7 linked regions of the Callithrix jacchus genome follow. The protein of the gene in region 1 purifies or fractionates together with the protein of each later gene. This does not show direct contact. Links are inferred from orthologs where the notes say so. Each region holds a gene or a part of one and is shown in the gene's direction. Other genes may lie near its edges.

Region 1 (3,917 bases):
CTGGGCAGACGGCCGAAGCCAGAAGGTGCAGGAGGCGACCTGGCTCTGTTGAATCTCCAGCTCAGCTCTGTCTGTGCTTTGGAGCTTTTTAGAAGTGGAGGCCCTGGAAATGCTGGCATAGCTGAGTTTAGGGACATGGCATTTTAGCTGTTCTCACTCTGGGGCTGAGGGGCTTCCCTCAAGGCAGCTGGTACCCTCAGAGACTGTCAGGTGGGCCACCAGAAGCCTCAGCCCAGGAGCCAGCAGACGTGACATCTAGGCCTCAGTAAGGGCTCGCTCAAGTCAGCCTCGTCCTCTCTTGGGGGCTCTTTCTGCATTCTCAAGAGCCCGACCTACCTCCCAGGGCCGTGTCTCTGTGGCCTCATAAATTGTGGAGCCCCCCCTGAGGCCGGGACCACCCTTCTCTTCTGTTCCAGCTGCTGGAAACGCTTTCTGCCAGGCCGCGCAGCTGCACCTGCAGCTCCAGAGCAAGCACGACGCAGCCACCTGCTTTGTGGATGCCGGCAACGCGTTCAAGAAAGCTGACCCCCAAGGTGAGGGCCTCCACGGGCCACATGGGCTGGCTGCCCGGAGGGCCATCATAGCACCCTGCATCGGGTCCTCGGGTTTCCTGGTGGCTCTGGTTTTTTCCAGTGGCCGACATGTGATAGGCTGGCAGAGACGCACCTGAGGCAGAGCAGAGCGCTGACTTCAGAACTGGCTCCCTTCCTTCCGGTTGGCATTCCCGCGCGGCTGAAGTCTCCGCCCCCCCAGCTACTGTGTGGGTGCAGCTGATTGCCCCTCCCCACGCCCAGAGCATTCGGGAGTGGGAGTTCCATTGCAGACCCACCGCCTGCCGGGGAGAGAGGAAAATCTGTTCTGTTGTCAGAATTAACACGCAGAAGGGAGCGGGGGGAGTTCTGAGACCAGCCAGGTAGGAGTCGCTGCCGAAAAAGGAGCGGAAATTAGCCCAACCTGGCTTCCCTACATCCTGGGGAAGAAGTAGAGAGAACAGAGCCCGAGATGTCGTTGCCAGAGAACAAGTTACTTAAAATGAGAGTGTGTTAGGGACAGAAGCCCAGTTTGGGGCTGACTCATGGTGAGAAAACAGTGTTTGTCCCCCAGGGTGCCTCCTGAAGAGGAAACACAGCCCAGTGATTGCCTGGGGCGGGAATTTTAATGTATTTTTAAAATCTTGGTGGGTACAGGTTGCTAATTAGCAAGCACAGGCAGTTTGTAAAAATGACTGTATACTGTCACTGTCCTCTCAGGAGAATGGAAAATATATGAATCTTTAAAAATAATCAAAAGTGTCGGGCAGTAATCAAAAGGGTGGCGCATGTCTGTAGACCCAGCTACTCGGGAGGCTGAGGTGGGAGGATTGCTTGAGCCCAGGAGTTCTGGGCTTTAGTGTGCTGTGCAGTTCGGGTGTCCGCACTAATTTCAGCATCAATATGGTGACCTCCCAGGAGCGGGGGACCACCAGGTTGCCTAAGGAGCAGGGGTCAACCAGCCCAGGTCGGAAACAGAGCAGGTCAAAACTCCTGTGCTGATCAGTAGTGGGATCGCGCCTGTGAATAGCTACTGCACTCCAGCCTGGGCAATATAGTGAGACCCCCGTCGCTCAAATAATGCTGATAATAATAATCATAATCACAATAACGAAAAGGAGCCATGTAATCTTGGAATAAAGGCCTATCCTTTCCAAGAGAAGATGGGTTTACAGCAGTGCAGGGAGTTTTCTCCACGGATCAGTAAGCCCCGGTTCACACGCCGTGTTGGGGAACTGTGTGCATACCCCTTTGTCGTGGTCTGGGGTGTGAGTTTCCAGACAAGGATGGATTTGTGTGTTGACCAGTAGCTCTTCTCTGTCCTTAGACTGGCCAGTGGTTCCCCACCAGCTGGGCATCTCACGAATTGGCCTCAGTGATCACACGGTGGGGCTGAGGCCTGGCAAGAGGCTGAGGAGCAGCCTTGTAACTGGGTGGGCTATAGAGCTGACCTGGCTGGCAGCACTGGGCCACAGCAGGCTGCATGGATGATGCAGTGACGACCCCGGGAGACCCTGGGTTGGTTGTAAGCTTGACTTACCCGGGGAGTCTCCGTGTCTTCCATTAAGCTGCCCTGCCAAGCCTTTCCTTCTGCTCCCCAGGAAACTGGCTGGCCTAGAGGCGCTGTCTTAGCATCTGTGCCGTTCAGCTGCTGCCCCATCTGGAGTGACTGGAAGGACTTGCTCTGGGGCAGCGCTGAGCACCAGGCTGTGGAACAGTGAGCGCCTTTGCTCTTTCAGCAGGCCCCTCCCTTCCTGCAGCAGGCTCTGCCTGCCAGTGGGATGTGGTGAGCTTCCTCCCCTGCATTTGATCTGAGCTTTTCTAGCCCTCTCTACAGTGTGTGGGCCGGGAGTCTGGGTGTGGCCCTTCTCTGGAATTAGGAAGCTCAGAGGGTGGCTAAGGACTCCAGCGGGTAGGAAAGTGTAAAGACGATGCCGCATCGGGGCACAGAGGCCAACTTGCGCAGACCTGAGGCGAGGAGCGGGTGAGCTTGGCTGGGGGAGAGCTCTTGGGGAAGAAAAGGAGCAGTTCTGACAGGAGAACCTCCCCTGGGTAGAGCTGAGAGCAGGTTCCATGTCCGGAGCCCTAGGGGCGTGGTGCTGAGCAGGGAGGGACAGCGTCCAGACCTATAGCCTAAAGATGCATGCCCCAGGGCACATTGGCATGAAGGGCAGCAGCTGCTTTGTGTCTGAGGCCAGTCAGTCCTCACAGAAGGCCAGGCACGTGGCTCATGCCTAGAATTTCAGTGCTTTGGGAGGCTGAGAAGGAATCCAGGAGTTCAAGACCAGCCGGGACAACATAGTGAGATCCTATCTCAAAAAAATGCCTCACAAAGAATGTCATCTAGCAGCTGTGCGTGGCTCAGCAGCACACGAGGTGGGTGGTCTCGGAGGACCTGCCTCCCCTGTGGTCTTGGGCAAGTCAGTCTTTTGGGCCTCTGTTTCCTCATCTGTTAATGCAGAGACTACTGTGAGGTGAGGCAGTCATGCCTAGCGCGGCACCTGGCGTGTGATAAACTGCCAGTCAGGATACCCTTGGCTGTCATCAGTCCAGGGACCTCTGCCTACCCTGGGCCCCCACGGTCTCTGCCCTTGGCCAGTGCGTTGTGAGGCAATGCTGAAGGCCCGATTTGGAACCTCGCCTGGCTTCCCCAAGCAGGTGACTGACTTCTGGAGCCCTCCTTATCACTGGTCTCCTCAGCAGCCTAGAAGGCCTCTGTCCAGGGTCAGCACTTCCTCCAGTAGTCCCTCCAAAGGACCCCCCCACCCCACCCCAAGTGGCAGCTGGAGTGTTCCTGAGGCCCGGCTGGGCTTCTATCATCTTCTCCTTCTGCAGAGAGGTGGCCTGCTGCCTCCTTGATGGCTCTGGGTGGGGAAGGGTGATGCCCATATGTGTCATTGGTTCCTCAATTACCCAACCACCACTGCTGCTCAGGGCAGACTCGGGCCAGGGACGCCTCTACCGGGGTCTGCCTGATAGCTGGGGCTGGGGCCAGTGTGTGTACCTGGGGCAGGGAAGGGGCCTGGCCCCTGCTTGTCCCCCACTTCCTCCCTAGCTGCCGTTTACTGGGTTCCTACTGTGTGCCAGATGCTTGGCATCTTTGAACCCATTTGATTTATTTGTGCAATTCTGTGATTTGCCCCCATTTTACTGAGGAGGAGACAGCCAGGTGTGACGGGGGGAACTTGAGAGAGGCAGAAGTCAAGCTGGGCATTGCTGGTGCAGTGTCTGTGGGGATGGGGCTGGCCTGGGCTGCAGCTCCCCCACTTGGGCTGGATTGCGCCAAGCCCCTTTCCAGCCCTCTGTGGGTGGGTGGAGGAGGGCCGGGTCATGGAGCTGGGTGTTGCTCCGCCTCTCGGGATGCCCAAGGTCTGGTGACCCGAGATA
Region 2 (4,696 bases), on another chromosome or scaffold:
ACTGCCACTGACATCAATGGAATTTTACGGGAAATTGGAATGAGTTAGTAAGCTTTGTCAAGTAGGCATTTTCTTCCTCCCTCAAAAAGTTCTGTGTGCAAGTATAAATCATCAAAAGGATGCAGATTCTTTCCATCTATTGCTTACAGATTGCTGTCTAAAGAGGCACTCATTTCATGCACAAGTCTTTATCTCCGTCTTTCTTAAAATAAGCAGAACATGGGAAAAAATTTTCTATACTGCAGTCCACATTATAGATAAGAAAAATAAAAACTAAGTGACATGGGAGATTGGTGGTGGATTTTCAAATATCAGAAATTTACAGGATTTTCATTAGCATTGTTTCTATGTTTTCTGTAAGATATGAACATTTAAATTGGTAAGAATGAAATTTGCGTATAACACTAGTTTTTCTTATTTGTATCCATTTAAATATTCACATTTTGACTTTAATATATAACAAGATGTTTCATTCAAAACACATCTAAAAATTAGAAAATGCCTAAAGGGAAGCTTTATTTACTTGGTAGAAAAATTGAAAAACAAAACAAAACACATTCTTCACAGTTTCAGAGGTGACAAAAATCTCTTATATTTCAGTGGTTCCGATCTTCCTTAAGGGATTTGAAAATTGTATATAATGTTGCATAATCTCAAGCACATTAATGCTAAAGTGCTATTGGTTATTTTAATCGTGTATTTCTTACAATATAAAGAATTTATTTGGTAACGCTGAATCTATTGACCACAAACTCTGTCATTATTTTGGTGAAACTATTCATAAGCATTTATAGTTACTGATTTCTAGCACTTGTTTCTCATCTTCCTGATTTTACAATTCCCCAAAGTAAAGGGGCAAAAACCAAACATCTATTCTCTTTTTCATAGGGGGAGATCTGTGTGGTGTAAACACAAATGCAGACCTTCCAAGTTGATGGTTTCAAGATTCAATAAAAACTTGAGAGTTTTTGCTTCGAATCCCCACGCTACTTTGTTTTAGCTCTACGGGATACGTGTTCCCTACCCATTTCAAAGGACCCAGGCAACTCGGCTCTTGCCTGCAGTTTCAGCGCGCGAGTTGGAGCTGGCAGAGTTCAATTGCTCAGGATGCTGAGTCGGGGGCAGGGCAGAGAGAGACACTCGCAGGTCCGGTGGTCCTGCAGGCTGCGGGCCCCCAAGGCCGACCCTAGCTGGAACCGCAGTCCTCTTCCCCAAAACATCCGTAAAAGGCGTTCCCTTTGTTCATTCAACAAACATTTGTTCAATTTCATATGCCCTCTGTCTTGGGAAAACCAATTCAGGCCTCTGCAGCCCCAACACAGAGGCACTGTTCCCGCCTTATTAATGACCCGGTGAAGCCAGGAAGACGAATCTCGACCACTGCTGCGCAAATACCGCGCGTGGTTTATTAAATGCCTTCTCTCTGAGTCCCAAATGGCCGGGAGCATTAGGCCACCTCCCTTGCCCTCATCTCTCGCTACCACGCAAGAAAGCGTTAATCGCAGATAGTGACCATGGCCCCGATCCGTCGTTCCTGCTTCCAAACAAGCTTTGTGCCAGCTTCCTCATTTTGCGAGGCTCCACTCTCCTGGGCTTCAGGCTGCGGCTGGGCCTCCGGGACCAAAGGCCAAACCGGGTCTAGAGTCCCGGCCACAGACACCTCTACATGCGGGTGTAGAATAGCGCCCCCGCGTGGCGGCGGCCCAGGGCGTCTCAGCCAGATTTTTCCATCTCCGGGGTAGGCTTGGTCCCCCGTACTCTCCAGCGGAACTACAACTCCCAGCACCGTGGTTGCCCGGACTCCCGGAAGCCAAGCCCTGCAGGGAGGAAGCAGCTGAGACCCCGCCAACAAACCGGGGGGTTAATTTAGCCAGAAAAGGGGGCGGGAAGGGCTCTGGGACACCTGTCAATTCGCCACCATGAACGTGGTTTTTGCTGTGAAGCAGTACATTTCCAAAATGATAGAGGACAGCGGGCCTGGTATGAAAGTACTTCTCATGGATAAAGAGACGGTGAGTTTGCTTTTGCTCAGCATTTGTGAAGGAACCCTCTCAACCTTACAAAGGCTGGTCTCATTCCACTGTAGGATTTAGCATTTAATGTAAAGATATGAAAATGGGGTCAGTTTGTGTGGGACTGAAAAGTTGTATAAAGCTTGTACGATGGATTTTCAGTCTAAATGGCTCCAGCCACTGCCCAGAGACTACTTCTACCCGGAACAATTTATTGGAATCAGAAATCTTTTTCTAAAAGCCTCTGAAAAGAAATCATGAATATGTCAGAGCACTTGGAAGACTTTGGGATGGGCCCACTGTTTCCACTCAACATTGTGTTTTAAAGTAAAGCTGTTGGAGCTCAAGCTGAAATGACAGGTTATTTGTGGGCCAAGACCAGAAAACAAAACTCGTTAAGGTGATAGAAAAAATTATTTTTGGAAATGTATGGATTGTTCCTGTTAAAAGAGAGGATTTTTTTTTTTTTTTTTAACCTTGAAGCTTCAGCTGAAAGGATAGAGTATATTTTTCATTCTCGTATGTTACCTACCTGTTTGGATGTTCAGTAAATGTTATTCCATATATTACTATTTAATTTATCCAGCTAAGTATTAATGAAAAAAGAGGCTAGATATGCTACTTGTTTTTATTATTCTAGACTAGCATACTTTTAGTTAATTCTTTGTTTTTACAGACTGGCATAGTGAGTATGGTGTACACACAGTCGGAGATTCTTCAGAAAGAAGTGTACCTCTTTGAACGCATTGATTCTCAAAATCGAGAGATCATGAAACACCTGAAGGCAATTTGTTTTCTTCGACCTACAAAGGTACTGCATAAACTGGGCTGCCATCTGCCCAGGCAGATGCAGAACACTCTGATCTGAAAGCATTAAGACGGCAAAATAAATTTGTATTATCATGATTTGTAATTATCATTATCGGTGGCATCATAACTATCCTGGATCATCAGTGTTATAACCTTCTTCTCGTTTTGTTTCCATATTTCAGTTGACCCCTTACAGCCAGTTCTTCCTTCAAGATATCTTTTAGGTTCACAGCTATTCCCATTGCCACTAAAGAGCTACTCTCAACAGAGACCACATGGCTTCATTCCTGGATTAACCTCTGTATCTGTCACATTGAACACCATCAACACTTCATTTTATGTACAGCTATGAATGTCTTGAATCTTTACCACTTTATTCACATTTACGCTCAGGAACCTGTAATGACTCAGTGTTACTTCCATGATTAAATCTTTATTTAGCCAGCAGTTAAAGCCCTTCTTTAGTTGAGCTGCACATTTGTATCCAGCCTTCCTATGTCCTAGATCTGCTTCTCCTCTATAGCCAGCTAGGCTGCCATTGGAATGAGCCATTCTACATGCTCATTCCTGTTCCCTATTTGTTTTTCTTCTTTCACTAATTAAAAGTTCTTTGGTCATTTGTCAGTTTTTGTCCATCACCTTCTAAATCTAGCTTGAGTCTCTCCTTTGAAAATCCTTTCCTAGGCCGGGCGCGGTGGCTCACGCCTGTAATCCAAGCACTTTGGAGGCCAAGGTGGGTGGATCACCTGAGGTCGGGAGTTCAAGACCAGCCTGACCAACATGGTGAAACCCCATCTTTAAAAAAAATAATAAAATAAAATTTAGAAAATTAAAAATTAAAATTCTTTCTTATTTTCATCTTATTTTTTATACTTTCTTGTTTCATATTCATGTTCTTCAACTCTAATGCATTTTACCATGCTTGTACATTATGTGCTTTCTGAAATGCAAATTTGATCATGACACTTCCGCTTGAAATTCTTGAATGACCTCTCATTGCTTTTATGATAAGGACAAAACTCCTTAATTGTAGGCCGCGAGGTGCAGCATGGTCTAGTTTCTGCCATTTCTCCAGCCTCATTTTGAACCATTTCACTTTTGAACTCTGCACCTTAGCCCCCCTAATCTTTCAATCCGCTATATTCCCCTTGTTCCGTCATGCCGCAGGACCTTTGCATAGGCCTCTTCCTCTGCTGTGAACTTCACTTCCTCAAGTAAAGCTTTCCTGGTTTTGCCGACCAGGTCAAACCTGCCTCTTATATGCACTTACAACACCATCTTTATCTCCCTATTGCTTGTCATGGTTTGAACTTTTGTATGGTGTGCGTGATTACCAGCAGTAAGCTCCATGAATACAGACACAATATCTGTTTCTTCTCATCCTGTATTCCCAATGCTTGCCACACAGTGGACACTCAATAAATAGTTGCCGAATTCATGAATACATGCTATGTTATAATAGTTTCCAATTGTTTCATATTTATAGCACTTAGTCATGAAAATTTGGTTCAAGAGGGATCTTAGAGATCATCTTGTTCGTTATTTCCTAACGTTTTTTATTAGAGAAACTCACTGCTATGTATTGTCTCTCAAACTCTTTTAACAATTCTTCCTTTTTCTTTTTTTCATTTTATATATTCTGTTATCTTTTGCCTTTTTCCACATGTTCTGAACTTTTAGGAATCTTTTAATTCACTTTGTTATTTTTGCCTAGCATATTGTGAAGAAGTGATTTTTGGTTTAAAAGATTTATTAAAATGTTTTGCTTTAAGATTATATTATAAAGTTAATTTGAGTGCATTTTTAAATCTAAACAGTTTGTAAAACCTTTTTCCCATTAATAAGCAGTGTACGTTGCTTACATTTTTAAAAAT
Region 3 (4,618 bases), on another chromosome or scaffold:
GGCCACTGTCTCCGCGCTCAGTCATGTCGGCCTTTTGCTCCCTGCCCGCGAGGTCTCTTCCCGCGCGGCCCAGCCTCGGCCTTCCTCGCGTCGCACCGCTCTTTGGCCGGCTCTGCGTTTCACGGCCGGCCTGGTGGGCAGCCGCTGCCGCCGCGGGGACCGACAGGCAGGCGGGCTGGACGAGTGGGGCGGGCACCCTGGTTGTGACGCACCAGTACGTAAGAATTTTAAAATGCGTATGTCCTTTGACCTAGCAACTCCATTTACTCTGGGCAAGTCATTATTCTTCTCTGTCCTTTTGTACCTCACAGAGTTGTGAGAGTTAAGCGAGACACACGAGAAGAACTTAGGACAAAGTTCCTGGCGCATAAGAAGTGCTCCCAAAATGTTGGCTAGTAGTAGAATAATAGCAGCTAACGGGCGTTGAGATCTTACCACATGCCACATTAGCACACCGTGCTTGGTGCTTTTCATGTATTACTCAATCCTCCAACCTGTGAAGGTGCTATTGATTACCACCAGTTAGCCTCTGAGGACACAGGCACAGGCATGCAAAGTATGCTGTGGACAGGATTTGAGCTCTGGCAGATATGATTCCTGTGATACACTGCCTCTCCATTAGGTGCAGTGGGGTGATGAGTACCTTACGAGAGGGTGTGTAGAGGTCTGCAGGAACACACAAGCACAGAGCCCCGCTTACAAGTGGGGGCCATGTTGATTTTTTGGGGAAAAGATGGCTTTCAGTAGAGACTGTGACACTTTCAGGATGGGTAATCTTGGGGCAGGGTTGGTTGTTTTCTTTTGTTTTAATCTACTTTCAGCCCATCTCCTGATCTATAATACTAGTAGTACAATTTCAAGGATGGCTGTGAGGATTAAGAGATGAACATGCAGGTCCTAGGGCATTCAGCTCTTCACAAGCTATGCTTGCTGAAGTGACATGAACAAAAGCAGATGGAGGGGGGTCGAGTGGGGAAAAGCATTCTAGGAAAAGGGAACACCACATTCTAAGACTACATATCCAGAAAGCTTGAGGGATCCAAGAAGGGTGCCTGCAGGATGGGGTGGCTGGTGGCCGGGGTGGCTGATGGCCTTGAGAACCAGCTAAGAAAGTTGCATTATTTACCAACAAAAATAAAAGAGTCACGATTTGTTGAGGGTATACAAAAGAGAATCATCAGGAACCACAGAAAGGCTGCATACAGGGAGGTGACTTGATCAATTTCACGTTTTCCAAAGATCCCTAGAATCGTGTTGGAGTGCTAGGAGGAACTCTACCGACCTGCTTTGAACTCCATACTTTAAAAAGCATATAACGTTTATAATTTTCTCTTTTACTCCACAATTTATACTCACTGTAGAAAATATTAAAAATATAAGAAAATTTAAAGAAACAAAAAATTGTTACTTGTACTTTCCAGAGACATCCCAATTGATACTTTTCTTCCCATCTTTGTTTTTTCTATGCAAAAAATACGTAGTTATTAGAATGCCTGACAGAAGGAAGTTGGAAAGAGATCACTGTGAAGCGTTCTTGATATTCCCTCTTATCCTCCTCTCCATGTTAATAGGGTCTTACTAAGAGGAGAGGCTGATTTCCCTCCACGTGTCAGGTAAAGTTCCAACTGTTAAGCAGGGACCCTCGCTTGCCATTTTCGCCGGTCTCTAGGGGGGCGCTGCCCGCAGACTGGGTGGGGAGGGAAAAAGGCGGTGCGAAAACGCGTTTGAACTTGGACCCTGCCGCTGCCCGTAGCCGGCGTCCGTCCCCAACATGGCGGCTCTCCAAGATGTCCACGTCCGGATCTGTAACCAAGAGATAGTCAAATTTGACCTGGAGGTGAAGGCCCTTATTCAGGTATTGATCCCGGGACCCCTGCCGGGCTCCAGCAGCCCTGACCCAAGCTCTGCTGGTCTGTGAGCGCGGCAGTGTAACTGCGGAACTTTCCCCAATTGGTTTCTCAGGCCACTGGCTCCGCCCCATGGCCGGCTACCCCCTGTTCCCCATTTGGTCTTGTCCCCGTGACTGCTGGCCTTGATCCTCCTTACGAGTGCTGCTGGATCGCCCATTTCCAGAGCGCCCCACTGTTCGCCGCCTCTGACCCATGCTTCGCGGCTCGGCTTTACCCCTCCACCTGCTGCCCTAGTCGTCGCCTCGCCCGTGACCACCTCACAACATACCTGCCACCCTGCTTGGCCCCGCCTTCTGACATTTGCTTCCCCATCACCTAGTAGCGTCCGGGAGGCCGCTAGCCCCGCCCCCTGCCACCTGGCACGGGAGGCACCAAAGTAACCTGGGCCGTAGTTGTGATTTTATGCTTGAGGAAATCGAATATAGCGCCAAGGCCCAGGTTAGAAGGCAGATCTGGGTCAATGGCAAAACTGGGACCTGGACTGGGAAAGTCAGTCTAGGAAAAACACCTAGAGTGTTAATCTGTTTGTATGGATAGGAAATGAGATGCTTTGCCTTAAGCCATTTAAGGGTAGAGGTAAGATAAACGAGTTGATGTAGGCAAGAATTAGGAACGTAGACACGGTTCCATGAGTTTAGCAAAAAGAAACCAAGAGTTTTAAACTTTGGTTTAAAGCAAATAATTTTCAACGAAGTCACTAAACATTAGATGTAGACTCAGAATGAGTTTGTAACAAGGTGTGGCAAAAGTGCAGGAAAGTAGGGCTCCCCAGATAAACCAGATGCAGAATAAACCAAATTCGTAGTTTATCATACGGTGCAAAGAAGTGTGATTAAATGAGTAAGCCAGAGAAAAATTGAAATTTGATGGAGATACTTAAAACTTATTGAACTTCACTTCTCTGACATGTACATTACAGAACTTCTGGGTCAGTTATAGAAAAATAAACAAGTTTCATACAAATGAAATTGCATTTTCTCTTAATCTAAATTGCTTAAGCACCCTTCTGTACCCTTTCTAACATTTGGGTTCTTGTGATTCCTGATAAGAAAGATTCATTATAGCTGGATGTATTATTGCACTCTTACTGTGTTCCATTGCTCTGCTAAGTGCTTTACATGCATGTATGATCTATGATCTGTGAGATAAGTAGTGTTGCAATGAGGGGGAGAATTTAAACTGAGACAGAATTTAAATAACTTTTCCAAGTAACTTTACACAACTAATAAGTTGCTTCAGCCAGGATTAGAATCCACATGGTCTGTCTCCAGAACCTGCTCTGAAACCTGGCACCAGCTGTTGCTGAATCTGTTGCTGAATGTCCAGGAACAGATTCTAAATCTGCCCTTAAACATGTCTGTATAAACACTCTGACTTATCACTGATGGTTTGTCAAATCACAATGAAGAAGTTAATCTCATCATATGATGCCAGATATTTAAGCATCCTGATCTTCAAGTTGGAAGGATCTCAGATTCTGAAGTTAATAGTATTGCTTTTGCATGTCCATTCTTGTTGGGCATACAAGCTGTTTTAAGCTTTTTCATACTGGCCACATAAGATTTTATTAAAATTTAGGAACTAAAAATTAGGTCAAAGCAATTGTGTTTCTTTCTAGGCTTTTATAGTAATTTTAACATTAAAGAGGAATGAGAAAAATGTAAATGATAATATTTTTGCCCATGTTGCAGAGGTAAACAGCAAAGATCAGGACGAATTACAGTCAGTACGTTAATATCAGTTGGTCTAAACCAACTCTAACTTTATGGATGGTGTCATTTCATTTCACTGCCTTGAGAAAGGCCTCTTATCTGTTCAATGTCTCCTAGGATATCCGTGATTGTTCAGGACCCTTAAGTACTCTTACTGAACTGAACACTAAAGTAAAAGAGAAATTTCAACAGTTGCGTCACAGAATACAGGTGGGTATTCTAAGAACTGAGATGCTGAGTATCTCAGTTCAGCCAATGAAGGGGCTCAGTCCTGGGTATATCCTCTGCTTGAAGCTGTCTGGGTTCTTCAAACACCAGCTAATGGGAGTAGTAAACACTTCGACAGTAAGAGGGACTCTGTACTAACCTGCTTTCCAGGTAAAAATGAGAAACTTTTGCATGCAGAACACTGCCAGCTGTGTCAATGAGTGGCAGTTTTTTTTAGGTGAAGTCTCGCTCTGTTGCCCAGGCTGGAGTGCAGTGGCATGATCTCAGCTCAGCACAACCTCCACCTCCCATGTTCAAGCGATTCTCCTGCCACAGCCTCCCAAGTAGCTTGGACCACAGGTGTGTGCCACCATGCCTGGCTAATTTTTGTAATTTTGTAGAAATGGGTTTTCAGGTTTTCACTATGTTGGCCCGGCTGGTCTCGAACTCCTCATCTCGTGATCTGCCCGCCTCAGCCTGGGTTTACAGGCATGAGCTACTGCACCTGGCTAATCTTGTTTTTTTTAAAATAGAGATGGAGTCTCATTATGTTGCTTGGGCTTCTTAAACTCCTGGGCTCAAGCAATCCTGCTTTGGCTTTTGAAAGGGCTGGAATTCCAGGCATGAGCCCAGCCTATTCTGTTTCTTTCAGACAGAATTTGGATCCAGGTTCTAATTGTTTCCAAGTTCAGGATCTAGATCAGAATCAGAAGGTAAAGACTACTGTTTCATGGGTCCGGGGCCTGCTGAGAAAAAGACAGGAAACAGGTTATGGACCTGACTATGAAG
Region 4 (3,917 bases), on another chromosome or scaffold:
GAGACTGGGGAGGAGGCTGGTGTGATTGTCTGGGACAAAGATCATTGTGGCAGATGGCCGACCCATCTAAGAGATGATGCACTAATGGAAAAGAAAGGGTTCCATTAACTAGGGGTGTTATTGCCTAGGCATTTAAGAGCCAGCTTACTGGATTGACAGACCTGAGTTCATATCCCAGGTCTAGCACTTATGTTGAGTCCTTGGGGAAGCTCTTGATTACTCTGAGCTTCAATTCCTTTATTAGTAAGAAGGGAATATTAACAGTACCTATCTCGTAGGGTTCTTGTGAGGGTTCATTTTTTTCTTTTAATCACTGCCATTATGGAGCAACTCTTTCAGAGCCAAGACTAACTTTATTTATGTATTTATTTTTTTTTTGAGGTGGAGTCTTGCTCTGTCACCAGGCTGGAGTGCAGTGGCCCAGTCTCGGCTCACTACAACCTCCGCCTCCTGGGTTCAAGTGATTCTTCTGCCTCAGTCTCCCAAGTAGCTGAGACCACAGGCGTGCCACCACACCTGGCTACTTTTTGTATTTTTAGTAGAGATGGAGTTTCACCATGTTGGCCAGGGTGGTCTCGATCTCTTGACCTCATGATCCGCCCGCCTCACCCTCCCAGAGTGCTGGGATTACAGGTGTGAGCCACTGCGCCCGACTGGCTAACTTTATTTTTAAATTATTTATTTATTTTTTGAAACGAAGTTTTCCTCTGTTGCCCAGGCCAGAGTGCAGTGGCACAATCTTGGCTCACTGCAACTTCCACCTCCTGACTTCAAGTGATTCTCCTGCCTCCCTAGTCACTGGGACTACAGGCACCCACCACCAATGTCTGGTTCATTTTTTAATCTTTGATAGAGATGGGGTTTTACCATGTTGGCCAGGCTGGTCTCAAACTCCTGACCTCAAGTAATCTGCCCACCTCAGCCTCCCAGAGTACTGGGATTACAGGTGTGGGCCACTGCACTCAGCTGTAATAATAACTTTTATTTTTATTTTTTTAATTTTTTAATTTTTTGAGATGGAGTTTTGCTGTTGTTACCCAGATTGGAGTGCAATGGCACGATCTCGGCTCACTGCAACCTCCGCCTCCTGGGTTCAAGCAATTCTCCTGCCTCAGCCTCCCGAGTACCTGGGACTACAGGCACACACCACCATGCCCAGCTAATTTTTATATTTTTAGTAGAGACGGGGTTTCACCTTGTTGACCAGGATGGTCTCGATCTCTTGACCTCGTGATCCACCCGCCTCAGCCTCCCAAAGTGCTGGGATTATAGGCATAAGCCACCATGCCTGGCCAACTTTTATTTTTAAATTTAATTAATTAATGTATTTATTTTGAGATGGAGTTGGCCAGGCGTGGTGGCTCATGCCTGTAATCCAAGCACTTTGGAGGCCAAGGCGGGCAGATCACCTGAGGTCGGGAGTTCAAGACCAGCCGGACCAAGATGGTGAAACCCTTTCTTTTAAAATAAATAAATAAATGAAAGAATGAATGAATGAATGAGATGGAGTTTCACTCCTGTTGCCCAGGCTGGAGTGCAGTGGCACCATCTCAGCTCATTGCAACCTCTGCCTCTTGGGTTCAAGTGATTCTCCTGCCTTACCCTCCTGAATAGCTGGGATTACAGGCACATGCCACCATGCCTGGCTAATTTTTGTATTTTCAGTAGAGACGGGGTTTCTCCATGTTGGTCAGGCTGGTCTCAAACTCCTAACCTCACGTGATCTGCCTGCCTTGGCCTCCCAAAGTGCTGGGATTACAGACATGAGCCACTGCACCGGCCAATAAAAAGTTGTTTTTTTTTTTTTTTTTTTGAGACGTAGTTTCACTCTTGTTACCCAGGCTGGAGTGCAATGGCACAATCCTGGCTCACCGCAACCTCCACCTCCTGAGTTCAGGCAATTCTCCTGCCTCAGCCTCCCGAGTAGCTGGGATTACAGGCACGCGCCACCATGCCCAGCTAATTTTTTGTATCTTTAGTAGAGACGGGGTTTCACCATGTTGACCAAGATGGTCTCAATCTCTTGACCTCGTGATCCACCCGCCTTGGCCTCCCAAAGTGCTGGGATTATACCCATGAGCCACCGCGCCCGGCACTTTTTTTTTATTTAAGACACAGTCTCGCTCTCTCACCAGGCTGGAGTGCAGTGGCACAATCTCAGCTCACTGCAACCTCCGCCTTCTGGGTTCAAGTGATTCTGCTGCCTCAGTCTCCCAAGTAGCTGAGAATACAGGTGTGCACCATCACACCCAGCTATTTTTTTGTATTTTTAGTAGAGACGGGGTTTCACTGTGTTGGCCAGGATGGTCTCGATCTCTTGACCTCATGATTTGCCCACTTTAGCCTCCCAAAGTGCTGGTATTACAGGTGTCAGCCACCAAGGAATTATGTCTATAAAAACAATTCTGTTGATGCCTCTGGAAACTACAGTGCCTTTGGCTATTCCTTTTTCCTAAGGATTGTCCAGGTGCTTTGTTGGTTATGCTCTAGACCCAAGATTTTGGCCTTTGAAAGAGTTCTGTAGCCAAGAGCATGGCCTCACAGAGTGGAGCCAGGGCAGTAGGCTGGAGGAATAAACAAGTCATTTACAAATAGATGAAGCCCTCTTTGCCTCTTTCTAGCTCTTCTCTGCAGGGACTGAGCTAGAGCATATACTAGACTTTGGAAAATTCTAGTAGGCCCATCTGGTCTGACTGTCTGGGATATTCTCACTTTAGTTAGTAACTTCCACCTTGCCCTTCCTACCAGAGATGGCCATGGGGAGAGAAGCTGACTGAGGACTCCTTGGCTAATACTTGATTTTTCCGTGGGCTCTTTTACCAGGACATCAATAGCCTCAACAAACAGATTGCTCAGCTCCAAGATTTCGTGAGGGCCAAGGGCAGCCAGAGTGGCCGGCACCTGCAGACCCATTCCAACACCATTGTGGTGTCCTTGCAGGTGGGACCTGGGGAGGAAGGGAGGGAGGGAAAGGGGAGGAATGTGGAGTCTTTGGTTGACCCTCTCTCCTTTTCTTCTAGTCGAAACTGGCTTCTATGTCCAATGACTTCAAATCGGTTTTAGAAGTGAGGACAGAGGTGAGAACAATCTGCATAGGAGGGATAAGAATATGGGGGTAAGGATCCAGGAGGGAAATGGGGAAGGGACAAGTCCTACAGGGTCATGGGCCAACAGTGGGAATCTCCTTAACATGCCTGCTTTCTAGCGGCTTCAGGTCCTTTGCATTTTTCCCCAATCCCAGAACCTGAAGCAGCAGAGGAGCCGGAGAGAGCAGTTCTCCCGGGCACCTGTGTCAGCCCTGCCCCTTGCCCCTAACCACCTGGGTAAGTCACAGGTAAAATGGGAAGCCCCAGGAGGTAAGGCTACTTACTCTGATTGTGATGGCATCTTCTTCTTTTTTTTTTTTCTTTTTAATAAAGACAGGGTTTCACCATATTGGTCAGGCTGGTATTGAACTCCTGACCTCAGGTGATTCCCCTGCCTCAGCCTCCCAAAGTGTTAGGATTACAGGCATGAGCCACCGTGCCCAGCTTGTGATGGCATCTTCTAAAGGCAGGTGTTGGGTAGGAGAGTGGAGGGTCAAGGAAATTGCTAGGCTGAACCAGATGGTTGAGATTCATGATCCTGCATTCTCACTGTTGGAGTGAATGTAGGTATATCCAGAAGAATGATAATTTCTGATTGTTTGGTACACTTATCTTTATTCACATTCTCATTTAATTTTCACAACCACCCTTTGAGAAAGCAACTATTATTATCCCCCATTTTACAGGTGAGAAAACTGAGGCTCAGAGAGTTAAAATGACCTGTCCAGGGTCACAAGGCTAGTAAGTGCCAGAGCTGGGATTCAAACCCAGAGCATGTGGGCTTTGATCCTCCTTTTAACTTAAGATGTGCCACATCCTGTTTTCTCCCCC
Region 5 (3,639 bases), on another chromosome or scaffold:
AGAAACAAGGAAGGGAGGGAAAGAAAAGAGAGAGGAAGGGAGGGAGGGAAAGAAGGGGAAAGGAAAAGAAAGAAAAAGGGTGAGAGAAAGAGGCCAGGCACGGTGGCCCACACCTATAATCCTAGCACTTTGGGCGGCCCAGGCGGGTGGATCACAAGGTCAGGAGTTCGAGACCAGCCTGGCCAACATGGTGAAACCCCATCTGTACTACAGATACAAAAATTAGCTGGGTGGCCAGGTGCAGTGGCTCACTCCTATAATCCTAACACTTTAGGAGGCCGAGGTGGGTAAATCAAGAGGTCAGGAGATCGAGACCATCCTGGCCAACATGGTGAAACCCTGTCTCTACTAAAATTACAAAAATTAGCTGGTGTGGTGGCACATTCCTGTAATCCCAGCTGTTCAGGAGGCTGAGGCAGGTGAATTGTTTGAATCCAGGAGGCAGAGGTTGCAGTGAGATGAGATTGTGCTACTGCACTCCAGCCTGGGCAACAGAGCGAGACTCTCAAAAAAAAAAAAAGAGAGAGAGAGAAAGAGGGAGGGAGGGAAAGGAAGGAAAGAAAGAGAGAGAGGAGAGGGAAGGGAGGGAGGGAGGGAGGGAGGGAAAGACCCAAATATAGGGGATTTTGCCAATGTTCAGTTCTTCCACTGCTGTTAGGAAAACAAGCTGCAGTTCAGCCCACCAAGCTGATTTATTTTTACCTTCTTTGATCAGAGCAGCAAACAGGATGTAGTCCATTCTCCTTGGAACTCCTATCCACAAACCATCAGATTTTGTCCATCAGTTGGGAGTTCCTATAGGGCATTGTCCAGTGATGATAGAATCCAGCAATTCCTCACATAGTTCCAGAGTCAATCCCAGGGGAAAAGAGGCTCCTTACTTGTCGCTCCTCCTTGCATTCCTCAGATAGCATGATCCTGTGTAAACATTTAAATTCTGCAGTACACAGTCCCAGTGGTTGTCGTAGAGAGGTACTCACTGGCCTTTGTCACAAAAGGCCTAGCAGCCTCCACATAGGGCTATGACACCAGGAATTTGTCTATATCAGTACTCTAGCCTTCTGCTGTACTGTTTGACTTGGGGAATCTTACTGGTTCCCATGTAGCATGTCCAGTTAAAGTTGCTTAAAGGGTAAGGTTATGTGCCTCAGTTTTACAATACTGGGTAGGCAGCAATAGATTATTTTCTGTTTATGGAGAAAGCTTGCTTTATATAGCCTTAAAAACACATGTGTTAATAGCTAAACTTTAGGTACGTGAAGGAAACAAATCTTCTAACATGTTACTTAATGTTAATTGTTTTTTTGTCTTCCTTAGGCTGACATTTTGGATGTCAATCAGATATTTAAAGATTTGGCCATGATGATCCATGACCAAGGTGATCTGATTGGTATGTATTATTGAAAGCTTTAACCTCAAGGTGAGTTGATAGTATTTGGCATGCACGTGCAATCCCAGCTACGCAGGAGGCTGAGGCTCAAGCATCACCTAGGAGTTTGAGGCCAACGTGGGCAACATAATGAGAATCTGTCTATTAAAAAAAAGTAAGAAAAGGAGTTAGTCATATCAGCTATAGAATTAAAGTGAGTTTAGGAATGCCACTTTAAAAATTACCAAATTTATTTTTCTTGGCAATTTCCTTATGTTATCAAATGTAGAAATTAAAGTGAGGTTTTGGGAATATTCAGTCCCATTGACTTGTTTCTTTGTAAGTCTTTGTTTAGAGAAATAGCTGTCAGCTTCCCAGCTTTTATCTCTACAAACTTGCAAAATTATGGGGTAACTCTATTTTTAAAGCTTTTTAAAAAGCTTTCTACATGGAAATAATTTCAAATTTATTAAAAGTTGCAAAAATAGGCTGGGCATGGTCACTCACACCTATAATCCCAGCGCTTTGGGAGGCTAAGGCAGGAGGATCACTTGAAGCCAGGAGTTCAAGACTAGCCTGGGCAATATCGTGAGACCCTGTCTTTACAAAAAAATTAGCCAGCCATAGTAACATTCACCTGTACTCCTAGCTACTCAGAAGGCTGAGGTGGGAAGATCACTTGAGTCCACGAGTTTGAAGCTATATAGTGAGCTATGATTGTGCCACTACACTGTAGCCTAGGTGATAGAGTGAGATCCTAGCTCTTAAAAAAAAAAAAAAAGTAGCAAAAATAAAAATATTACAAGGACCTTCTTTATACCCTTTACCCAGATTTACCTCCTGTTAACATTCTATCCCATTTGCTTTATTATGTATTCTTTCTCTGTCTATGAGTATATACATAATTTTTTCTGAATCATTTATGGGTGAGTTAAATAATTCCTAGCCCCCAAAAATTTGATGTTTTTTTCCCAACGAATAGGGCTAGTCTCTTATCAAGGTAGTAACTTGATTTCATGGTGGATAGTTTGGATGGTGGTAGTGAAACTAGACCCATAACATCAGAAATCTGTTCAATTTGCAGTCTTGAAACATCTGAATGTGTTAAAACATCCTCTGTCCTTCCTTTTGCAGATAGCATAGAAGCCAATGTGGAAAGCTCAGAGGTACATGTTGAAAGAGCCACTGAACAGTTACAGCGAGCTGCTTATTATCAGGTAAAAGTGGATACCAAAGAAAATCATTCTGTGTTTTAGACTTTTTAGGTTATCAGAGTACGTTGACATTATTGAGAACAGCTACAGGCTTTTGCTTATATTTACCTAAAGGAAAGTAGTCATAATTGCAGTCCCAGTTCCATTTTTAGTATTTTTCTTTGCAGATAGATCTACAAAAAATAATCAAACCCTGAATAAACCTACCAGAAGCCTCTTAACTGCAAAGCTAACCCTATAAACTAGCATGAGGCTGGGTGTGGTGGCCAACGCCTATAATCCCAGCACTTTGGGAGGCCAAGGTGGGCGAATTATGAGGTCAGGAGTTCAAGACCACCCTGACCAACATGGCGAAACCCCATCTCTACTAAAAATACAAAAAATTGGCTGGGCGTGGTGGCGCACATTCTTGAACCCAGGAGGCGGAGGTTGTTGCAGCAAGCCAAGATCCCGCCATTGCACTGCAGCCTGGGCAACAGAGCAAGACTCCATCTCAAAAAATTTTTTAAAAATAAACTAGCATGATACCTAAATATGGCATAAGGCTATTTTATGTCCTGAACAGCTGAATGTGTTTCACTTAGGATAGTAAGAAGTTAAAGTAGAAGACTTCATAGATATTTATGTTGACTGTTGCCATAGAGGATGGACATAGCAACTTTGACTGCTATTTATATATGAATAAATAGGAGTAATTATTCTGGAACTGTTCCTGTGATGTGAACTCCTTCTTTGTATTAGTTGAAACTCTGGTTTTTTGACTTACCCAGATCTTTATCTCAGCCTACAAATAATGTAAATGGAGTCCTTCTCATCTCCCTTCAATTTGTTGTTGCATGGCTTTTTAGAAATAAATCGCTTTTCAGCTATTTTCCATGTTCCTGGGATAGCTGTATTTTACTTGAGAGTGCTCGTAAAGAAATTTGTATTTAACAATAGTGTTTCCTTTAAAAACCATGTGATGGGGCCGGGCGCTGTGGCTGAGGCAGGAGAATTGCTTGAACCCAGGAGGCGGAGGTTGTGGTGAGCCGAGATCGTGCCATTGCACTCCAGTTT
Region 6 (3,917 bases), on another chromosome or scaffold:
AGGTACATCACTTGAGGCCAGGAGTCTAAGACCAGACTGACCAACATGGTGAAACGTCTTCTCTGCTAAAAATACAAAAATTAGCTGAGTGTGGTGGCACAAACCTGTAATCCTAGACACTCAGGAGGCTGAGGCACGAGAGTCACTTGAACCCGAGAAGCAGAGGTTGCAGTGAGCCGAGATCACACCACTGCACTCCAGCCTGGGCAACCAAGTGAGACCCTATCACAAGAAAAAAAAAAAGGCTACGACTTTTGGCAGTTCACATGGCTGTCACAGAAGGAAGGCTATACTTCTGAGGGCTAATTCAGATTTTCCATCTTTCAGTTAAGGTACTGCCCTGATTCATTTGAAGCAAGCAGCATTCTATCCAAGCAGGCCTTCCCTAATGGAATGAAATTTAGAATTTAAGATGGTTTGGGCAATTCTTATGCACACTCAAATTTGACAGTTACTGAATTAGTTTAAACCAAGTGTGAAATTATTTTAAAGTAAGAAAAAGAAATAAAATATTGAGGAAAAGAAAGGCAAGTAAGATAAGGATTTAAAAAACTGGCCTTTGATTTGGCGTCTTAAGAAGCCAGTAGTGGTCCTGGAAAGCAGTGTCTCTTGGCTTTTGTGCCTACTCCCTCTGTCATTCCACTGAATGATTGTATTCCTTAGTGTTTCTGTTCTCTCTATGCATTCTCACTAGGGGATCTCATCTATGCTCTTGACATTTGCTTATGACACCTCCATTTATGTCTCTAGCCTCTCGTCGCACTTCAGTTTCATGAATCCCCTCTGCTGTCATTACCATACTTCAGATGTTCGTAAGCTTTAATGAACCTTCGGGCTTGTTAAACCTCAGAGGTTCTGTAGGCTTGGGATGGGGTCAGTAATTTACATTTTTAGTAAGTTCCCAGGCAGTGCTGATGCTGCTGGTCTGGGGACCATGAATTGAGAACCTCTAGGAGGAAAACCACATACCTGTGACAGTGGGAGAGAAAGAGCTGAGGTTGTATTTGTGAGGCGTAAGTTTGGGTGGAGGAGGGTGACACAAAGAGTTTGTGCCTGATGGCTCCTCCTGTTTTGTTTTTTTTTAACCTAGAAGCAGGTATCTGACTTATAAATGTGGTTGGTAACTTCTGTTAACTGTGTTTTTTTTTCATTCTAGCCTGAAAACTGGTTTTTTAAAATGGAAGCCAGATTATGACAGTGCCGCTTCTGAATATGGAAAAGCAGGTATTTTTTACTATAGTCCAGTTGCTCTAGTATGTAATCTTAAAATATAGTCTGATAACTTCATTTCACCGTAATGCTTACTCATGTGCTTTCTACAAGGCTTTAATAGTTAAAAAAACAAACAGAACAACTGTGCAAACCCTTGAGTGTTTCTCCTCTTGTTATTTTCAGATGTGTTGAGAGCTGAGTCAGAGATCTTGGTACCTGTTGTTTATGACAGCAGGGATGGGGCGAGGTTGGTGATATACAGCAGTGGGTTTTTAGCATTGCTTATATATTTTTCAACTCTAGTTATTTGTATACTGTATCCATGAATTTTGCCATATTTCTCGATTATACTTTCTGTTGAATAAAGAGTTTGTTAAATTGTTTTGTTAATTTATCCTCATCTTAAGCAGATCTACAGATGATGTTTGCTTGGTACTTTTATCCTTTATGAACCTCACTTTGAGTGTATTTGTTCATTGTTCATGAAGTGTTAAGCTATATATGTATTTTAATCATTTTATTTGTATGTAAGATATAAACAATCTAAAATATGCAACAGAAAGGGAATTTTACTAAAAATTTAGCATTCTAAATTATAGAATGATAGCTTTCAGCATATCTGTGATGACTTGGAATATAAATAAAATAAAACAAAATTTTGAAGTACCTTGAACACATTGTCAGCTGTATTTCAGCGATAACCCTGATCACATGTGTTAGCCTAGCATAGAGATCATCTAGGGCTAGTGCTTTTGGATAAACAGCAAATGAGTCTTCAGTACTTTTATTTAAATCAGAGTAAATTCTGGTTTTTTTTTTTTTTGCATCATGCAAACTGTTTATATCTCATACTTTAAAATTATTAAAAGTTCCAACTTTGTGTGAATTTTATGGACTACTTCTGCAAGGAGGCTTCTGTAACAGAAGGGAACAACGTTTTGCAGGTTTCCACTGTGAGGGAAATTTAACACACATTTGTTTTATAGCCCTCTGAGAACATTAACTACATTCAAAAATAAATGTTTTAGATCAGATTTTTCCATTGAAGCATTCTTTGTTTATTTTCTTTAAGGGCTTATGAAAAATCTATTTAATCAGAATAAATTTTTAAAAAAGCAACAGATAGAAAAGCAGGGAGGAGAATCGTTCAGTATTTGGTTTTCACATCTTATTAAAGAGAATTTTAAGAGTGTTTTTAACAGATAACACTTTTCTTAAAGCATTATGCTTTTTGCTTCTTTGTAAGCAGCCCTTGAAAAGTTTTCCAAAATTTTAAGATTATATTTTATAAGCATTCCTGTTTTGCTTTGATGATTACACTTTTAAAACAGCTCGCAGTATACTTTAGCTGTTTAAACAGTGAGATATTTTTTATAGACAGTAAACAGTATAAAAGATTTTTTTTAAATGCATTGTTAGACATTTAAAGATTATACCAAAGGAAGGTTTATTATAAAAAAACTATTTAATGTGCTTATTGGCCTTCAGTTTCTACATAATTCAATGACCTATACCTAAAGTTCTGTTTTATTATTAAATGTAAAAGTAGTGAAGTAAGGTGCTGTCTTTTGTGACTAAAGAATCTACCTGTCACTGGAGAGTGTTAGGGAGTGTTGGAGTTAGAAAGACTTACTGATTTCTAATTGAAGTAACTGATTCGTTGCCAGTAGTCAACAATTAAAAAAGAAAAACTTAAAAATACTCCTAAGTTACTGATAATTGGAAAAGTTGTAAGGAAATTGCTTTAGAAAAAAGTAATATTTTATAGTTTTTGGAAACTTCCTAAGTATTTGAAATGTGTGTCTGTAATACTTCATATACAATGCAGATTTTAGTAATGATTCATTTGAGGTTTTTCAGTGATGGAAATAGAGAGTCAGTTTTTTTTTTTTCTTTTTCAGCTGTTGCTTTTAAAAATGCCAAACAGTTTGAGCAAGCAAAAGATGCCTGCCTGAGGGAAGCTGTTGCCCATGAAAATAATAGGGCGTATCTTTTTCAACCTTTAAAAAGAAATTAAACAATTAGATGATTTTGACAAGCTGTTTTCTCTTGCTATAAATTTGCTTTACTACCTGTGAAGTAAAATGTTTTTAAATTAGAAAATGATTAGAAAAATTGTGTATTTTTAAACTGTAAAGGAGCGTTTATAGTGAAGTTTCATCATAAGGTCCACACTGGTTCGAAGAGCTACATTTGAGAACTTAGTTTCTGTTGTTTATAGTTTTACTTGATGATGTTTTACTTGTGATGACGTAAGGGAAATCTGTAGTCATGCTGAAGAATGAAGAAGTAGGACAGGTATTGAAAACGCATAAACTACTGTATCAGTTTTTTAAAAATACAGTTTTTTCCTCAGGTATTTGAAATAAGAATTATAGTAGGCATTTGAAAACTTTCTGATAAAAAATGTTTCTCTTATTTGCAAAGTGTAGTCATAATAACTTTGCACTTCAGTGAATTGCATAATAGAAATAGTTTAAAATTTGTGTTATGTCAGTGTTTTGGAGAATTATATAGTTTTAAACTATATCAACAGGCTTTGAATTATTTCTTCTTTACTTGGTTGTAGGATTTGTCTTTTGGAACCACCTGGGTCAGTGATTTAGTTAACTGTCTTTAAATAGTAGATCTCTAGAAACTATTGATTTTTTTCCTTTTTTCCTTAACTTTGACTTCATTACTTCCATTCAGTCTTTTTCATGCTG
Region 7 (4,639 bases), on another chromosome or scaffold:
CAGTCTCAGCTCACTGCAACCTCCAGCTCCCGGGTCCCAAGTTCTCCCTGCCTTAGCCTCCCCAGTAGCTGGGATTACAGGAGCCCACCACCATGCTTGGTTCATTTTGATTATTTAGTAGACTTAAGTTTCACCATGGTCTTGAACTCCTGACCTCAGGTGATCTGCCTCCCTCCACCTCCCAAAGTGCTGGTATTACAGGCGTGAGCCACTGAATTACATAATTCTTAAAGGCTGTAGGTTCAATGCTAGGACACTTCCTAATAGCATTAAAGATAACCTATTTTAAATGACACAAAAAGTTTTTATTAATGAAAAAAGCCAATGTTTTACACTATAAAACAATCTTAAATAATCGTTTGGCTAACTTCATTTATGTAATTTTGGAAAGTTTTTGAGGCAGTCTGATTTCATTTCAGAATTTGATGCAACTTCATAATGAAGTGTCATCAATGAACTATTGAAACCATATGGGAAATCAGCTGTCATTGTGTATCCATTCTTAACATACAGTAAAATGTATGGATTAAGTTAGAAATCATCTATCCCATACATTTTGCCATCACGTGGCTTCAAGTGTACATTAAGCCGCCAGCACAAGACCAGCCAGGCCAACATGGTGAAACGCTACAAAAAATGAAAAATTTGGCCAGGCGTGGTGGCCCCTGCCTGTAGTCCCAACTACTGGGGACGCTGATGTGGAAGGATACCTTGGGAGGATCTTCTCAATTCTGTAGGTCGAGGCTACAGTGAACCAAGATTCTGCCACCGCACTTAAGCCTGAGCGACAGAATGAGACACTGCCTCAAAACAACAAAAAACCAGCACATAAGCCTGGCCTGATGATGTGCCCCTGCAGTTTCTGGCTACTTGGGAGGCTGAAGCAGGAGGATTGTTGGAGCCTCGGAATCTGAGGCTGCAGTGAGTCCTGATTGCGCATTCCAGCCTTGGCAGCACACCCCCCACTACAGCCTGACTTCCCTCCCACGGTAATGTTTTGTGATTTTCCACGGGAAAGAGGAAAACTGCTAATTGCTCATTTTGTACTTCCCTGCGTCCCGTGTCCATGCCAGCAGAACGCCACCATAAAGCTATGCCATTTTATTTTAAGAGATGCGATTATGGTGAAACCCCGTCTCTACTAAAAATACAAAAATTAGCTGGGCATGGTGGCGCGCGCCTGTAGTCCCAGCTACTCGGGAGGCTGAGGCAGGAGAATTGCCTGAACCCAGGAGGCGGAGGTTGCGGTGAGCCGAGATCGCGCCATCGCACTCCAGCCTGGGTAACAAGAGCACTCTGTCTCAAAAAAAAAGAGATGCGATTGAGAAATATGCCAGATTAGAGTAATGCTCCGTTTCTCCGGAAAAGCAAATGGAGCACTCCTGCTGCACTGAGAAACGAGAGCTAAGACTGACATGTTGCCTGTGTTTCGGGAGTTTTCATTTACTTCAGTCCTGTGGTCCTCATCTCCTGGAGTATTATCACCCCTTAAGTGCTCAGAGCTCAGTTTAATGTAGCTACGATTTGAGAAAATGTGGCTTGATTTGATAGGATAAAAATTCTTAGTCTTCTGCTAATATTACGGGCTACCAAGGCATTAACCTACACTGGGTCTCCCAGTTCTACCGAGAGCGAGGGTCTTCCTGGAGGAGGTGGGGTCTGGCCCACAGGCACCTCCTTTGGCCCCGCCTCTCCGCGCTTTGCTTCCGGGGCGATAAGGGCAGCCACGTCATCCCCCGGCTCCGCAAGCTTGCCGGGCAGTGGCTCGTGGGAGCCAAGATGGCGACGGCGGCGGTGGCGGCGGCGGCCTCAGCGGCCTTAGCCAGTATTCGGGAAAGGCAGACAGGTACTGAATTATTCTCTTCCCCTTGAAGCTTCGTGACTGCCACGAAGATATCCTTTTCTGCTTGTCGCCCTCACTCGGTCGTGGTGCGTGCAGCTCAGAGACCGATCTCTCAGAGTTCAGTCCAGTCCCTAGAACATCAAAAGCTCCTCCCCTTTGAATTTTTGGGGAGAAGATGCCATTAGCTTGAGGACTCGGTTCCTCCTGTGGTGCAGGAAAAGGAGCTTCAGCGGTGTGCGGTGGATACGGCCTGCTTTTTTCTTTTTCCTGGTGGGCATCCGAAGGCCATCACAAGATCTAGCAGTTGATACCTTCTTCTCTATTTTGCCACCTATAAGGTCTCCGCGTTGGTTTCTGTGCGTGGTTCAGTTTTAGTTTTGATTTTTGAGAGAACTCCCATTTTCTGGCACCTCCACCACAATTACAGATTTTAGGTATTTTCACAGCGGCTTGCTTTGCGCCACTTTACTTTGGAACAATCTTTTGAGGGTACTGCAGAAAAATGCCCGGTGATAAAGATTTCCTCCTTCAGCTTGCTGGAAGGAATGGAAGAATGGCAAAACAAATTAATAAATAGCTTTCTCATTTTAATTGTTTGACAGATTATTGTTTCAAAATAATTTGTCTTCAATAGAGCGTGTTTATATAGCTTCCATTTAGGCAGAGAAATGTAAAAAGGAACATATTCTCGTGAGTTTGGGAGGGGTTTCCATCTTAGAAATTAGTTTTGCCTTATTTGAAAACTCATGACAACTTGGTTCATACCTGTTAGCTACAAACTAAAGGTTTATGCTTGTTAACTAATTGTCTTGAAAGTTTTCAAGCCATTTATTGAGAAGCTGATAGAAATAAGGCATCAAGAATGTGCATACTTGGAATTCTGTTTCCTGAAATTATGCTCTTATGATAGAAATATGAATAGGAAAATAACTATAATTCCTATGACGTATAGAAAGGATTTGGGCTATACTTGATTCCTTCCTTTGGCATTTACAGAAAAAATGATAGACTTCAACCTAGTAATGATACAAAGAATATTGAGTTGCGTTCTGCTTTTCCCAGTAGATAATTTAGTATAACCTATCCGGCGAAGTCAGGCATAACTAAATATAGGGAAGTTCAAATAAGATTCGGGGAATACCTGCCATTCACTTTATCGGTGTAAGCAAATAGAAGCTCCATGTGCTCCATGTGTCTTAACACTGTGATTCTTATGACTATACTACATGTTAAAATAACATGTCAGTGAAATTGTACTAATATAAGGGAGCTTTCTGAAAAATAAATTTGCATGGCAGTAAACTTGTATGCAGAAACTTTGTAGATCATTTAAATCTGATAATTTGTATTTCTGCAGAAATAAACATAATATTTTACAGAATAATTAGATAAATTGTGCTAGATCTGTTTTTTTTAATCAAATTTTTACTGTCATTGAATTCTGTCTCATTTTCAGAGGAAGGTAAATCCTTGTATATGTATTATAATGCAGAATTAGCTATTTTCCTCATTCATATTGAGAATGTTTTGGAAAGTAACTCACAATCCTCAAATATTCTAGATACCAGAATATTTGGGTGGATGAGATAATAGTTGGTATTTATTGAGCATTTACTATTTTTAGGCATTGTTTTAGGTGATTATGTATTATCTCCATTTTACAGGTGAGGAAAGTATGATAGAGGTAAACTAACATGTCTGTTTCTTGCTTTGACTGCCCGAAGAATCTTTATTGATCTTTTGAAGGTCATCCCACAAGCCATCTCCTTTCTTCCTGGTTCACTGCCTTCTCTATCCATACCTTCAGTTCAACAGGTGTAAACAGTTGCTTCCTGCTTTGTGTTACTGTTGTTCTTCATTAAATGCCTCCTCATTATAGGTTTTTGCTCATCTTCTCTGCCCCCGCCACCCATTGCAAGATCCCAGTACTGTTAGCATCTAGCTCCTTAGCTTTCAGTATTATCTGTATGTTGGTGATTCCCAAGTTTATATCTCTAGTCTGGCCCTCCCATCTGAACTCAGTCTACTCCATATCAATGAATGGCAATTCCATCCTTATAGTTGTTCAGGTCAAAAACCTTGAAGTTTTCTTGACTTGTCTCTTTCATATTGCTCATGTCAGATCTTCCAGTAAATCTTGTCAGTTCTACTCTGAAAATATATCCAGGATCTGACTGTTGTCATTGCTATTCCTGGGTCCTATCCACTGTGAATTTCTGCAGTAACCTATTTGGTCTTCTTGCTTTCCAGTCCTGTTTCCTTAATTATTTTCCACAAACTGATCATGCCATATGTTTGCTCAAAATCTATCATCTTCCCATTTCAACCATGATAAAAACCAAAGTGGTCTTACAGCCTTCTTCAAGGCCTTATACAATCTGGTTCCCACATATTTGGACCTCACTCCCTATTACCTTTCGCTTTCCTTGAACCCACCAGGAATGTTCCCACCTTCAAGCCTTTGTATTTGTTTCTTCTTTCTGGAATACTGCTACAGAGATAATCTCCATGGCTTGCTCCCTCACTTCCTTTAGCTCTTTACTCGAATGTTACCTTCTCAGGAGACCTTCCTTGATTACCCTGTTTAATACCCCAACTCCGTCTTCCCCTTTCCCAGTCTTACCTTTCTTCATAGCACTTATCATCATCTACATACCGTATGTTTTACTTTTTCTTTCTTTATTCCGCAGTTAGAATGAAAGCTACGTGAGAACAGGTAATTTTATTCACGTTTTGTTCAGTTGCTAGATCCCCAATAACTACAGTGCCTATGGTGAGCAATCACTAAACGTGTTG

Evidence for each region.
Region 2: the proteins of NAPA (region 1) and VPS45 purify together in Homo sapiens (affinity purification with mass spectrometry; 3 studies listed by BioGRID and IntAct, with this or other methods). This does not show direct contact. The link is inferred for Callithrix jacchus from reciprocal best matches to the Homo sapiens genes NAPA and VPS45.
Region 3: the proteins of NAPA (region 1) and BNIP1 purify together in Homo sapiens (affinity purification with mass spectrometry; 3 studies listed by BioGRID and IntAct, with this or other methods). This does not show direct contact. The link is inferred for Callithrix jacchus from reciprocal best matches to the Homo sapiens genes NAPA and BNIP1.
Region 4: the proteins of NAPA (region 1) and STX5 purify together in Homo sapiens (affinity purification with mass spectrometry; 3 studies listed by BioGRID and IntAct, with this or other methods). This does not show direct contact. The link is inferred for Callithrix jacchus from reciprocal best matches to the Homo sapiens genes NAPA and STX5.
Region 5: the proteins of NAPA (region 1) and STX12 purify together in Homo sapiens (affinity purification with mass spectrometry; 4 studies listed by BioGRID and IntAct, counting the BioPlex papers as one, with this or other methods). This does not show direct contact. The link is inferred for Callithrix jacchus from reciprocal best matches to the Homo sapiens genes NAPA and STX12.
Region 6: the proteins of NAPA (region 1) and NAPG purify together in Homo sapiens (affinity purification with mass spectrometry; 3 studies listed by BioGRID and IntAct, counting the BioPlex papers as one, with this or other methods). This does not show direct contact. The link is inferred for Callithrix jacchus from reciprocal best matches to the Homo sapiens genes NAPA and NAPG.
Region 7: the proteins of NAPA (region 1) and SCFD1 purify together in Homo sapiens (affinity purification with mass spectrometry; 3 studies listed by BioGRID and IntAct, with this or other methods). This does not show direct contact. The link is inferred for Callithrix jacchus from reciprocal best matches to the Homo sapiens genes NAPA and SCFD1.

What each region holds. Positions count from the first base shown.
Region 1 is NC_133523.1:41,438,540-41,442,456, reverse strand, and holds part of NAPA (alpha-soluble NSF attachment protein), read left to right. Parts: intron 1-416; coding exon 417-533; intron 534-3,917. UniProt on the Homo sapiens protein: Required for vesicular transport between the endoplasmic reticulum and the Golgi apparatus. Together with GNA12 promotes CDH5 localization to plasma membrane.
Region 2 is NC_133519.1:9,987,898-9,992,593, forward strand, and holds the start of VPS45 (vacuolar protein sorting-associated protein 45), read left to right. Parts: upstream 1-1,797; 5' UTR 1,798-1,919; coding exon 1,920-2,012; intron 2,013-2,688; coding exon 2,689-2,823; intron 2,824-4,696. UniProt on the Homo sapiens protein: May play a role in vesicle-mediated protein trafficking from the Golgi stack through the trans-Golgi network.
Region 3 is NC_133503.1:65,504,524-65,509,141, forward strand, and holds the start of BNIP1 (vesicle transport protein SEC20), read left to right. Parts: upstream 1-1,758; 5' UTR 1,759-1,771; coding exon 1,772-1,855; intron 1,856-3,739; coding exon 3,740-3,832; intron 3,833-4,618. UniProt on the Homo sapiens protein: As part of a SNARE complex may be involved in endoplasmic reticulum membranes fusion and be required for the maintenance of endoplasmic reticulum organization. Also plays a role in apoptosis.
Region 4 is NC_133511.1:120,104,543-120,108,459, reverse strand, and holds part of STX5 (syntaxin-5), read left to right. Parts: intron 1-2,823; coding exon 2,824-2,940; intron 2,941-3,020; coding exon 3,021-3,077; intron 3,078-3,241; coding exon 3,242-3,323; intron 3,324-3,917. UniProt on the Homo sapiens protein: Mediates endoplasmic reticulum to Golgi transport.
Region 5 is NC_133508.1:64,484,183-64,487,821, forward strand, and holds part of STX12 (syntaxin-12), read left to right. Parts: intron 1-1,317; coding exon 1,318-1,390; intron 1,391-2,503; coding exon 2,504-2,586; intron 2,587-3,639. UniProt on the Homo sapiens protein: SNARE promoting fusion of transport vesicles with target membranes. Together with SNARE STX6, promotes movement of vesicles from endosomes to the cell membrane, and may therefore function in the endocytic recycling pathway.
Region 6 is NC_133514.1:52,332,897-52,336,813, reverse strand, and holds part of NAPG (gamma-soluble NSF attachment protein), read left to right. Parts: intron 1-1,156; coding exon 1,157-1,224; intron 1,225-3,113; coding exon 3,114-3,198; intron 3,199-3,903; coding exon 3,904-3,917. UniProt on the Homo sapiens protein: Required for vesicular transport between the endoplasmic reticulum and the Golgi apparatus.
Region 7 is NC_133509.1:65,016,127-65,020,765, forward strand, and holds the start of SCFD1 (sec1 family domain-containing protein 1), read left to right. Parts: upstream 1-1,759; 5' UTR 1,760-1,779; coding exon 1,780-1,846; intron 1,847-4,533; exon of another isoform or gene 4,534-4,559; intron 4,560-4,639. UniProt on the Homo sapiens protein: Plays a role in SNARE-pin assembly and Golgi-to-ER retrograde transport via its interaction with COG4. Involved in vesicular transport between the endoplasmic reticulum and the Golgi.